2 linked regions of the Canis lupus familiaris genome follow. The protein of the gene in region 1 binds, or shares a complex with, the protein of each later gene. Links are inferred from orthologs where the notes say so. Each region holds a gene or a part of one and is shown in the gene's direction. Other genes may lie near its edges.

Region 1 (5,001 bases):
AATTGATATAGAAGATGAACACCTTTGTGGATATCTAGTAGGATTCCTGATGTTGCTGGAATTCCCTGTTGTGGTCTTAATGATCCCATTTCTGGTGATTTAGCAGGATGACTTGCCTGCCCAAGATGTTAATAACTGATGGGAGGCAGATAGTACTGGGGCAAGGACATGGCTGTGGGATAAGACTGCACTGTTTCTCCAGTTAATTCTAGCACCCTCGCTGTTTAGTGACACCCCTTCCTTACCGTCTGGTTTTGCCCCATGTTCTTCCTGTAAGTAACTTCTCCCAGATGACTGACCTGACTTCTGCCTATCTAGACTAAGGATGAGTATATAGTATTTTGTTCACCTACTTAGTAATGAATGTGTGATATACTATGGCTGTGAAGAGGGAAGGTTGCTCTGAAATTGTCTGTTGCCAGCTAAACAAATAGGACTTAGGACATTTCTCAGTTTTAGGTTGTAGTCCCTAAATTCCTGAACTTGTTTTTTTTGTGTGTTTTGTTTTGTTTTAAGATTTTACTTATTCATGAGAGACACAGAGAGGGGCAGAGACTTAGGCAGAGGGAGAAGCAGGCTCCATGCAGGGAGCCCAATGTAGGACTCAATTCTGGGACTCCAGGATCATGACCTGAGCCGAAGGCAGGCACTTAACCCCTGAGCCACCCAGATGTCCCTTGTTTACTGAATCTTGATACGGGAAGTATTTTACAGATATTTAATTTCAACAAAGGAATGGGAGCCCAGACTGATGAATATTTCCTTTATTTTGCAGGAAGGATGCCAATTCTGCGCTGCTCAGTAACTATGAGGTAAATAGCTTTGAAGTAAACTATTGGATTTTCCTCTCTGATAGTTTGCCCTTTGCTTCTGAAGATTATTGAATTAATTTTAGTTAAAATGACTGAATTCATTGGATTTTCCACTTTAAAATAGGACAGATGACACCATCTGGTGGACTTTGGAATTATAAGCTTGGTAAATTATACATAGTAATTCAGGAAAGCTGGGAAGACTTTAGTTTATAGTAGGCAATCTTCCCCAAATCCTAGATATTTTAGATCTTCATTTGATATTCCTTCATGGGATAGAAACATGTGTTTTGGAACTGTTTCTTTCTTTTTTTTAAATTTTTTTAAGATTTATTTATTTATTCATGAGAGAGAGACAGAGACACAGAGGGAGAAGCCGGCTCCTCGCAGGGAACTTGATATGGGACTCGATCCTGGGACGGGGATCACTCCCCGAGCCAAAGGCAGATGCTCAACCACTGAGCCAACCAGATGTCCCTCTTGTTTCTTATCTTATGGAAGAGCTTTCAGCTTTTCACTGTTCAGTATGATGTTAGCTGAGGACTTATCATATATGGCCTTTACACATTGAGGTATGTTCCCTCTAAACCCAGTTTGTTGAGAGTTTTTATCATAAATGGGTGTTGAATTTTGGAAAATTCTGTCTGCCTCTATTGAGATGATCATATTTTAGGAAGATTTACTTTCAAATACTCAATATATGGGAATGACTGGGTTGCTCAGTGGTTGAGCATCTGCCTTTGGCTCAGGGAGTGATCTTGGCATCCTGGGATCAAGTCCTGCATTGGGATCCCCATGGGGAGCCTGCTTCTCCCTCTGCCTATGTCTCTGTGTCTCTCATGAATAAATAAATAAAATCTTTAAAAAAAACCCTCAATATATGTTTGAGATCAGGGGAGATATATTGATAAGGAAACATTTGAAATATTTTCAGTAAACTAATGGATTTGGATTATCAACTTAGATAAAAAGAATTTTTAAAATGTCAGCTGCATCTCAGACTAATATTTGCTCTAATGCAAGAGTAAGGGAGAGGGTTTGTGAAAGAAAAGAGGTACTATACTAGTTATCCTTCAAAATCATTGACCTTGAAAAAGATTTATCAAATTTATTCATAAAAATATTTTATTACTTCCTTAGGTGTTCCAGTTACTGACTGATCTGAAAGAGCAAAGGAAAGAAAGTGGAAAGAACAAACACAGTTCTGGGCAACAGAACTTGAATACTATCACCTATGAAGTAAGCCTATGCTACTGGAGAGGCTACCCAACTACCACTGAGGTTGGCTTATTCTGCAGATGACTAGCCACCAAATCATGACTACCTCTTACTTGATTTGAGTGGTTTTACTGTAACCCAGTTTTTATTCTGTTTATACAAGTGGAGGGAGTTTATCCAATGGTGAGGGTTAGCTAATGTTAAAGTTAGAAGGAATAGTCAAAAGACTGCCCTGAATTCTAACACTTTCCCCTTCTCTTAGTTTTCCCTGATGTTACCGTCTCCCATAAACATGGCACAATTATCAAAACTAAGCAATTACAGAAAGAGTTTATTCAGATTTTCTCAGTTTCTATGCCCTTTTTCTGTTCAAGGGTACAGGGTGTTTTATTCAGTTACCATGGCTGGCTCCTTAATATCCTCTTATCTCTAGCAGGTCTTTAGGCTTTTCTCATCTTCCATGCATTACCTTGACACTTCTGAAGAGTAATAGTCAAGTATTTTGTAGAATGTCCCTCAGTTTTGGTTGTTTTGTTTTGTTTTGTTTTAATGTTTTCTCATGACCAGACTGAAGTTAGGCTTTTGGGAAGGAATGCTACAGAAAGGATGTATCCTTGTCATTGTGTAGTACAGGGTATATGATATCAGTGTCTTACTGATGCTGTTCACTCTGATTACTTGCTTAAGGTGGTATCTGGCCTCTCTGCTGTAAAGTTACTGGTTTTCCACTTCCACTTTGTATTAGTTAGAAAGGAATTGTCAAGTCCAGTCCATTCAAAGGACTCCTTCATCTCCTGAAGGAAGGATATCAAAAAATCTGAGGACTTTTTAAAAAAATTTTATTTATTCATGAGAGAGGCAGAGACAAAGGCAGAGGGAGAAGCAAGCTCCCTGGGATCCCTGGGTGGCGCCAGCGGTTTGGCGCCTGCCTTTGGCCCAGGGCGCGATCCTGGAGACCCGGGATCGAATCCCACGTCGGGCTCCCGGTGCATGGAGCCTGCTTCTCCCTCTGCCTGTGTCTCTGCCTCTCTCTCTCTCTCTCTCTCTCTCTCTCTCTGTGTGTGACTATCATAAATAATAAATAAAAAAATAAAAAATAAAAATAAAAAAAAAAGAAGCAAGCTCCCTGCAGGGAGCCTGATGTAGAACTCAATCCCAAGACCCCAGGATCACGACCTGTGCCAAAGGCAGACATTCAACCACACTGAGCCACCCGGGTACCCCTGAGGACATATATTAAAACCATCACCCAAGAATCAATCAATCAGTCCATCACAGTAATTAATAGATATTTTGGGGAAGATGCTTTGAGGCTATGCATAATATATTCTACTTAAAGCTTTTGCCCATTAATTTTAGTACTCATTAGTATGTCTTTCCTGCAGTAATTATTACTGTGGTTCAGTTGCCTAAGATTGATTGATTTCCCTCATTCCTTCCACATTCTTCTGTAAGAAAACACTTGATCCTTCTCATCCTTTTATTTATTTACTTATATCCATATGGACTTGTGACTATTCTTTGGGTTCCCTGTCTTTTAAAAAATTGTCTGAAATATAACACAATTGTCAGCTTGAGTGTTTTTTTTAAGATCAGAAAAGCTTGGGATCCCTGGGTGGCGCAGCGGTTTAGCGCCTGCCTTTGGCCCAGGGCGCGATCCTGGAGACCCGGGATCGGATCCCATGTCGGGCTCCCGGTGCATGGAGCCTGCTTCTCCCTCTGCCTATGTCTCTGCCTCTCTCTCTCTCTCTCTCTCTCTGTGTGTGTGTGTGTGTGTGTGTGTGTGTGAGACTATCATAAATAAATAAAAACTTTAAAAAAAAAGAAAAAAAGATCAGAAAAGCTTGCTTTTTTTTTTTTTTTTTTTAAGATTTTATTTATTATTCATGAGAGACAGAGAGAGAGAGGCAGGGATATAGGCAGAGGGAGAAACAGGCTCCATGCAGAGAGCCTGATGTGGGGCTCAGTTCCATGACCCTGAGATCATGGCCTGAGCTGGAATCAAGAGTCAGATGCTCAACTGACTGAGCCACCCAGACACCCCTTTATAGATTTTGAAATAAAATTTTAGAATACTAAAAAAAAAAAAAAAAAAAAAAAAAAAAATTTTAGAATACTAAGTTATAGCCATTGTCTTCCCTTTTTCTCATTCAAGTTTTGTTTATCTTATGCTTGTTTTTTCTTTTTTTTGGGGGGGGTAGACATTAAAATATATATCAAAAACACCATGCAGGCACCAGACTCCTGAGATTGTCAGAGAATTTCTCACAGCAATGAAAAGCCACAAGTTGACCAAGTAAGTAAAAATTATTTTTTTAATTTTTAATTTAAATTCAGTGTAGTTAATGTACAGTGTATTATTAGTTTCAGGGGCAGAATTCAGTGATTCATCAGTTGCATATAATACCCAGTGCTCATTACATCATGTGCTCTCCTTAATGCCCATCACCCAGTCACCCCATCTCCCTACCCACCTTCCCTCCAATCACTCTCCATTTGTTTTCTAGAGTTAAGAGTCTGTTACCATCTGCTTCCCCCTCTGTTTTTATCTTTATTTTTCCTTCCCTTGCCCTTATGTTCATCTGTTTTGTTTCTTAAATTCCACACAAGAGTGAAATCATATGATTTATGTCACTTAGCATTAGCATAATACCCTCTAGTTCCATCCATGTCGTTGCACATGGCAAGATTTCATTCCTTTTGATGGCTGTGTAATACTCCTGTATGTGTGTGTGTGTGTGTACACAGATCTTTATCCATTCATCTGTCAGTGGACATCTGGGCTCTTTCCATATTTTGGCTATCATGGACTGCTATAAACGGGGATGAATGTGCCCCTTTAAATCACTGTAGTAAAAATTATTTTTAGTCAGAAAAATATGTGACACATAATGAAAATGACACTATATGAAAACCATCCTCAGGAGTGCTATGTTTCTATTTAGTTGAATTTTGAATTATAATTGACACA
Region 2 (5,747 bases), about 40 Mb from region 1:
GGAGAGCCCTCAGGAACCTCCCTGCAGGAGGGTGTTGGTTGAGCCAGGGACTCTCTTGGTCTTGCAAATTCTCCAGTGATTGATTTAAGACTCCTCCTCCCTCGGAAGAGGCCCCAGTCTTCTGGCAGAGCCTGGGTACTAAAGGGCAACAGACCAGGTGCCTCTCTGCAGCTCAAAATGTGGTGTGAACTTACTCTCGAAGCTTCTTCCTGTCCTCTGTGAGCTTCTCTCCTGCAGAGGTCAGGTAGTAGGTCCTCCACACATAGGACCTGCAAAATCCAGATGAGGATCTGGGTAAACCACAAGCAGGGTGATTGGGCAGCTGGGACGCAGCAGCTGTGTGTGAGATGGGCTCGGGATGCTCAGCTCTGGGGGGCCCAGGGCAGGCAGCCTCTTCTTGGCTTGTCCTGTACCCTGTACACACCAGGCCCGAGGTAGCTCGAAAGAGGCACCGCTCTGAAAGAGCCGTGTGGGGTGGCTGGGGGCCAAACACACCTTCCTAATGAAATAGGCTACAGCACGGAGACAGAGACGACCCATGCTGCAGGAGTGAGGAGACCACCCAGGGGAAGATGGGGTAGGGCCGCTGGCAGCTGCACCGTCTGTAACCAAGGAGACCACTTACGCTGGAAATGCTCCAAGGTGCCCCCATTTAAGAAGCCCAGTTGCCTGGGTGAGGTGATGTAGATGAAAGAGAACTGAGGCAGGACTCCCAGGCACCGTGGCACCCACCGCGCCGGGACGCTCAGGACAGGGAACTCCTCGGTGCTCTGTGGCACACATGCAACAGTGGCTCCACTTACCAGCTGATGTGCTGAATGCCCCCTTCACGCTCCTGCCTGAGCTGCACGTATCTCTGAATGGCCTTCTTCAGGTCCAGGACTGTGGCGTTCTGCACCACAACCACAGCTGCGGGAGAAGAGCCATGTTAGGATCCACAGCCACAGCCTAGGACGGCAGGAAAGGAACCAGAAGCTCTGTCCAGACTGTTTTGGACGGAGGCTCAAATTCAGGTGGGGTAGGCTTGTGGTTGCCCCGATGCCCTTCGACGTACATGGCTCTTGAGTTTCCCCTGAGCAGCCATGGCAGCGTCTTGTCTGCGTGACAGCTTGGACTGCAGGGTCCGCAGGGAGAGGGCGAGCACTTACGCATTATCTCTCCATCCATCTTGCACACGCGGACTGTCATCGCTTGGCCATATTCTAGTGCTATCTGGGAATTGACTTCTTCCAAAGTAACCTGCAGAAAGACCAATGGTGGAGGTGGGAGCCTTGGCTGCCTTTGCTATCCCAAACCACAAGACAAGACAAGCGGATAGCATCGGAAAAGCAGTGCCGTATCTTACGAAAGACGAGAGACAAGATTTCTTACTTCTATGCTAGGGTTTCCCGGTTGCACCTACATTTTAAAAGTGTTTAATGTGCAAAGTGCATTAAAGCTCAGGAAAAGAGGAGCGCTGAAACAGGAGAGGGTGAGCGCCAGATCTGGGCTCTGGGGCTGGGAAGGAGGAGGCGCGGTCAGTCCGGGATCCAGGGCGACACCGGGCGGGGGGGGGAGGGGAGGCCGGTGTGCGAGGGTGACCGGGGCGCCCAACCCAGGAGTGAACGTCCTCGGGCGGGGCGCGAATCTCGATGCGGAGTCCCGGGGTGGAGCCGTTCTCCCCACTTGAGCCTCAACTACGGAAACGACCTTAGAACCTGCACCTGCAGCGCAGCCGCGCCCGGGGCGCCCGGGGCGCCGTCGGGGTCCGCCTTGGGACCGGACGACCGTCCGCCTGTCCCTGTCCCCTGCTGCCCCCGCTCGTGCTCGGGTCAGTGAGGTCCTTAAAGGACACGGGAGAATCGAGGCCCGCCGCATCGTCACCTCTGGCGCCCACAGGGGGAGGTCAGGCACCGAGGTCCCGCCGCGCACCTGGATCGGGAGGTCGCAGAGCAGCGGGTCCTGCACCACCATGGCGAGCCCCTCCTGGAACACGTCCACCGCCTCGGAGTGCGGCAGCGCCTCCTCTTCATCCTCCTCGGCCTCGGGCGCCTCGGGCCGCGCCGCCGCCGCCTCCGCCTCGGCCTCGGCCTCCGCCGGCTCCAGGGCGCCCGCCCAGCCCCGCGCTCCGACCGCGCCGCCGCCGCTTCCGGCCGCGAGGGGCGGGGCTGCCACGGGGACCGATGGGAGGCTCGAGGCGGCCTGCCGCAGGGGCTGCTGGGAGCGCCAACCCGGCCCGGCCATTGGGGCGGCGGCGGCCCGGGCCAATGGGAGCTCGCGACGGGCCCGACGCCGGCGCCCCGCGGCCGCAGGGGCTGCCGGGAGCGCGCGGGGCAGCCATGCTGCTCTTCTGTCCGGGCTGCGGGAACGGGCTGATCGTGGAGGAGGGACAGCGCTGCCACCGCTTCGCCTGCAACACCTGCCCCTACGTGCACAACATCACGCGCAAGGTGATCACCCGCCGCCCCCCGCCCAGCAGCCGACGCCCGCCCCGCCGGGGTGCTCCAGCGGCCCCGCCCCCGCCCCCCGCCGTATCGGGAGCGGCCTGGCCTCACCCGGCTCCCGTGGCGGCGTCCCCGGCGGCGGCCCGGGCGGCCTCGTCGGAGCCGTGGCCGGATCAGGCCCGCCCTGTGCGCTGGCGCGGCTGACTGCGGGTCCGGGCCGACGCCGCCAGCCCCCGGGGAGCAGCCCGCGCCGCGCACCGACACGGCCGCCGGGCCTTTGCACGTGCTCCCGCTGCCCTCCCCGCCCCGCCCGCAGCCTCGCCGTGTTTGGGTCGTGCCGAGCAGCGTGGCTCTGGCGGACTCGGGTCACCTGCGGACACGCCTCTACGGGACTTGCGTGCCTGGGGTCGGTGCTGCGGCCCCAACCCGGGCCCTGGACGGAGCCGCGGCGCACCGCCCGCCCCGAGCTGCCCGCGGGAGTTGGGGCCGCCGCCGCGACGCCCGGGACGGAGCCGGGGGCCTGCGCGGAGGGCCCGGGCCGAGCGTGGACGGGGTGGGGTGGGGGGTCCCGGCTGCATCCGCCTCTTGGGCCGGCCCGACGCTGGAGCCCCTGGACCCGGGCCGAGCCCTGCGCCGCGGGTGTAGAGACGCGGCTGCCCAGGATCGTGCAGCCCGCGGGGAGGAGGGCAGTCGGCGGCCGGGTCAGCACCGCGCCCCTACCCGCGGCCTGAACACCTGCCGCCTTTCGCCAGGTCACCAACCGGAAGTACCCGAAGCTGAAAGAAGTGGACGATGTGCTCGGCGGCGCGGCGGCCTGGGAGAACGTGGACTCCACCGCAGGTGAGAGCTGAGGCCGCGCTGCCTTTGAGGAAGGAAGCTCCTAAAAATAGCGTGTGTATTTTCTTCTTTAGTGATTTATTTCTTACACAGGCAATATTGGCATAAACCCCAGAGACGTACAGGTGTGGGTTAGTCTCAAAGCCACAGCCTCTTAACATCGCATGACCTTGGTGGCCTCCCTCCGTTGTGAGAGCGTGAAGGGAGCCCCGCAGCACTTGGCCTCTAGCGTGGTCCTCAAGTGGCGGCTGTGCGGGGAGCAACCGATGGCAGTAATGAAAGTCGGAGCCTAAGGAAGAGTATATGGTCCATTTGTTCAGTTGTGGATCTTTTTTAAAATTAATTATCTCTAAAAAATATTTTATTTATGTATTCATGAGAGACGCAGAGACAGAGACACAGGCAGAGGGAGAAGCAGGCCCCATACAGGAGCCCGATGTGGGACTCGATCCTGGGACCCCCCGGGGTCACACCCTGAGCAGAAGGCAGATGCTCAACCACTGAGCCACCCAGGGATCCCTGGTGTAGATTTTTATTTTTAATTAATTAATTTATTCATTCATTCGTTTGTTTGTTTGTTTATTTATTTATTTATTTATTTATTTATTTTTCTTCCTGGTGTAGATTTTTAAAAGCTGATGGCAGAGAGCATTCACATGTTTATTTCAAGTCTTGTTTCCTGTCTGATAGAGGTAGATGTGACCAGGGAAGGAAAGAAGAGAGCCCTAAACACATCTGTGTTGAGCGGAGGAAGACCCAACTCCTGTTTAGTATTATCTTTTCTCCCCCATAGAAGAACATCTAAATCTGATATGGTAAAATTAGCATTGGCAGAATTTGCCAGGAAAGAAAAGAAGATGATTTTGGTACCTAATGTTCAAAGTGCTGTTTGTGAGTGTTTGAAGGCATTATCAAGCATAGGGTCAGTTTCCCGAACTGAAGTCACTTTGCCTTGAGGTATTTGGCAAAGGTGTGGGTTGTATGGTGAGGTCTTCATAAGAACGGCCTGAGGAACTGCTGCCGAGATGGATCCCTAAATTTAATGGGAAGTGGATTTGTCATCCCCTGGGGGCTCCTCCAGGAAGTTGAGAGGGCTTAGGTGATGGAGATGCACTTGGAAGAATCTGCCCAGAGTGGACCCCATCATGCACATGGTAGCCATAAGCCACATTTCATGTCACATTTCCAGCTAGTCTTCAACCAGATTTGAGAAGAAAAATGGGACTCAGGGAGGGGAGCAGGAGTGTTTTCCAGGGTCACAAGTCCCCTCAGTGTGAGAGTGTAGTGGGAATGATGCCACTAATTACAGCCTTTCAGTCATGGCGCAAGGTGCCCTAGGCAGGGGATGCCAGATGATTGGGGTCGGGGAGGGATTTGGTGTGTTAATACCTACCTACTTCTAGCAGGTGTGTTTGGTCATGAGCATAATGTGGGTCACTTGTTTTTCTCGTTGCCAGAGTCATGTCCTAAATGCGAACATCCTCGTGCCTATTTCATGCAGCTTCAGACTCGCTCTGCAGACGAGCCGATGACCACCTTCTACAAGTGCTGCAATGCTCAGTGTGGACACCGCTGGAGGGACTAGGGCCAGGATCCAGCTGTGTCATTGTCTGCCTACCTTGTTCCCTAGGGTGGATTCACAGCCAGGAGTGTGAACTGTTTGTCCTGAACTGTCTCTGCTGATGTGGCCAAAAGCTAACCCTTTCACGGGAGCTGGTCAGGGTACCAGCCCATCTGGCAGTCAGCGGATGAGCTCATTTATATCCAGGGGGATTGTGTGTGCAGGGAAGGGTATACATAAGTAAGTGTGTTCTTTTTAATATCCTGTTTGTGGATCTTGTAGGTATATTGGCTAATTGACATCTTTTCACCATTATCCTTCTTAAATATGCACTCTGATTGCACAACTAATAAAGTAAAATGTTATAATGTAGGACATTAGATGTATCTAAGTATTTAACTTAATTGTAAACTTATCACTATCTATTCTGAATATTTAATTAAAATGGAAAGTCTAATACTGCTTTTCTAGTGTTTATTTTTTTTTAATTTTTTGCCAAGAAGTATATTTTATTTTCGTTAATCATACAAATAATTTGCTATAATATCCCAGGGTAAACTGCAGAGTTTGGCAGTCTGACTGGGGCGGGGTGGGGGCTGGGGGGCGGCCCTCAGAGACCTGCAGGCTGGCAGCCTTCAGCGTGGAGTGCCTGGGTTCACAGCACAGCTTGTCACTCGTGGCCATCTCGCAGGTGGCTCTTCCTCTACATCACGACCCGGGTGTCTCGAAGATGTTGTGGGTGGGGAACCCTCTAGATGCTTAGGAAATTTTATTCCGTTTCTACTGCTCGATGGTCTCTGGTTGGCAGGGTGTTCTCCAGCGTCTCCATTTTCTTTAGCTTGGCCTTATCGAAGCTGGCGATTTCCCCCGTGTCCAGTTTGCTATTTCTTAAAGCGATCTGTGGAGTTCCACCCCGAGTCCAGTGC

The links. The genes of interacting proteins can lie anywhere in the genome.
Region 2: CRCP (region 1) and POLR3K share a complex: the UniProt entries of both Homo sapiens proteins name them as parts of the RNA polymerase III complex. The link is inferred for Canis lupus familiaris from reciprocal best matches to the Homo sapiens genes CRCP and POLR3K.

The regions. Positions count from the first base shown.
Region 1 is NC_049227.1:729,511-734,511, forward strand, and holds part of CRCP (DNA-directed RNA polymerase III subunit RPC9), read left to right. Parts: exon of another isoform or gene 1-37; intron 38-775; coding exon 776-812; intron 813-1,952; coding exon 1,953-2,093; intron 2,094-4,231; coding exon 4,232-4,326; intron 4,327-5,001. UniProt on the Homo sapiens protein: DNA-dependent RNA polymerase catalyzes the transcription of DNA into RNA using the four ribonucleoside triphosphates as substrates.
Region 2 is NC_049227.1:40,885,444-40,891,190, forward strand, and holds POLR3K (DNA-directed RNA polymerase III subunit RPC10), read left to right. Parts: upstream 1-2,269; 5' UTR 2,270-2,318; coding exon 2,319-2,429; intron 2,430-3,175; coding exon 3,176-3,263; intron 3,264-4,717; coding exon 4,718-4,845; 3' UTR 4,846-5,283; downstream 5,284-5,747. Other genes in the region: SNRNP25 (U11/U12 small nuclear ribonucleoprotein 25 kDa protein), read right to left, coding at 195-269, 804-909, 1,149-1,239, 1,912-1,953. UniProt on the Homo sapiens protein: Core component of RNA polymerase III (Pol III) which synthesizes small non-coding RNAs using the four ribonucleoside triphosphates as substrates. Can mediate Pol I proofreading of the nascent RNA transcript.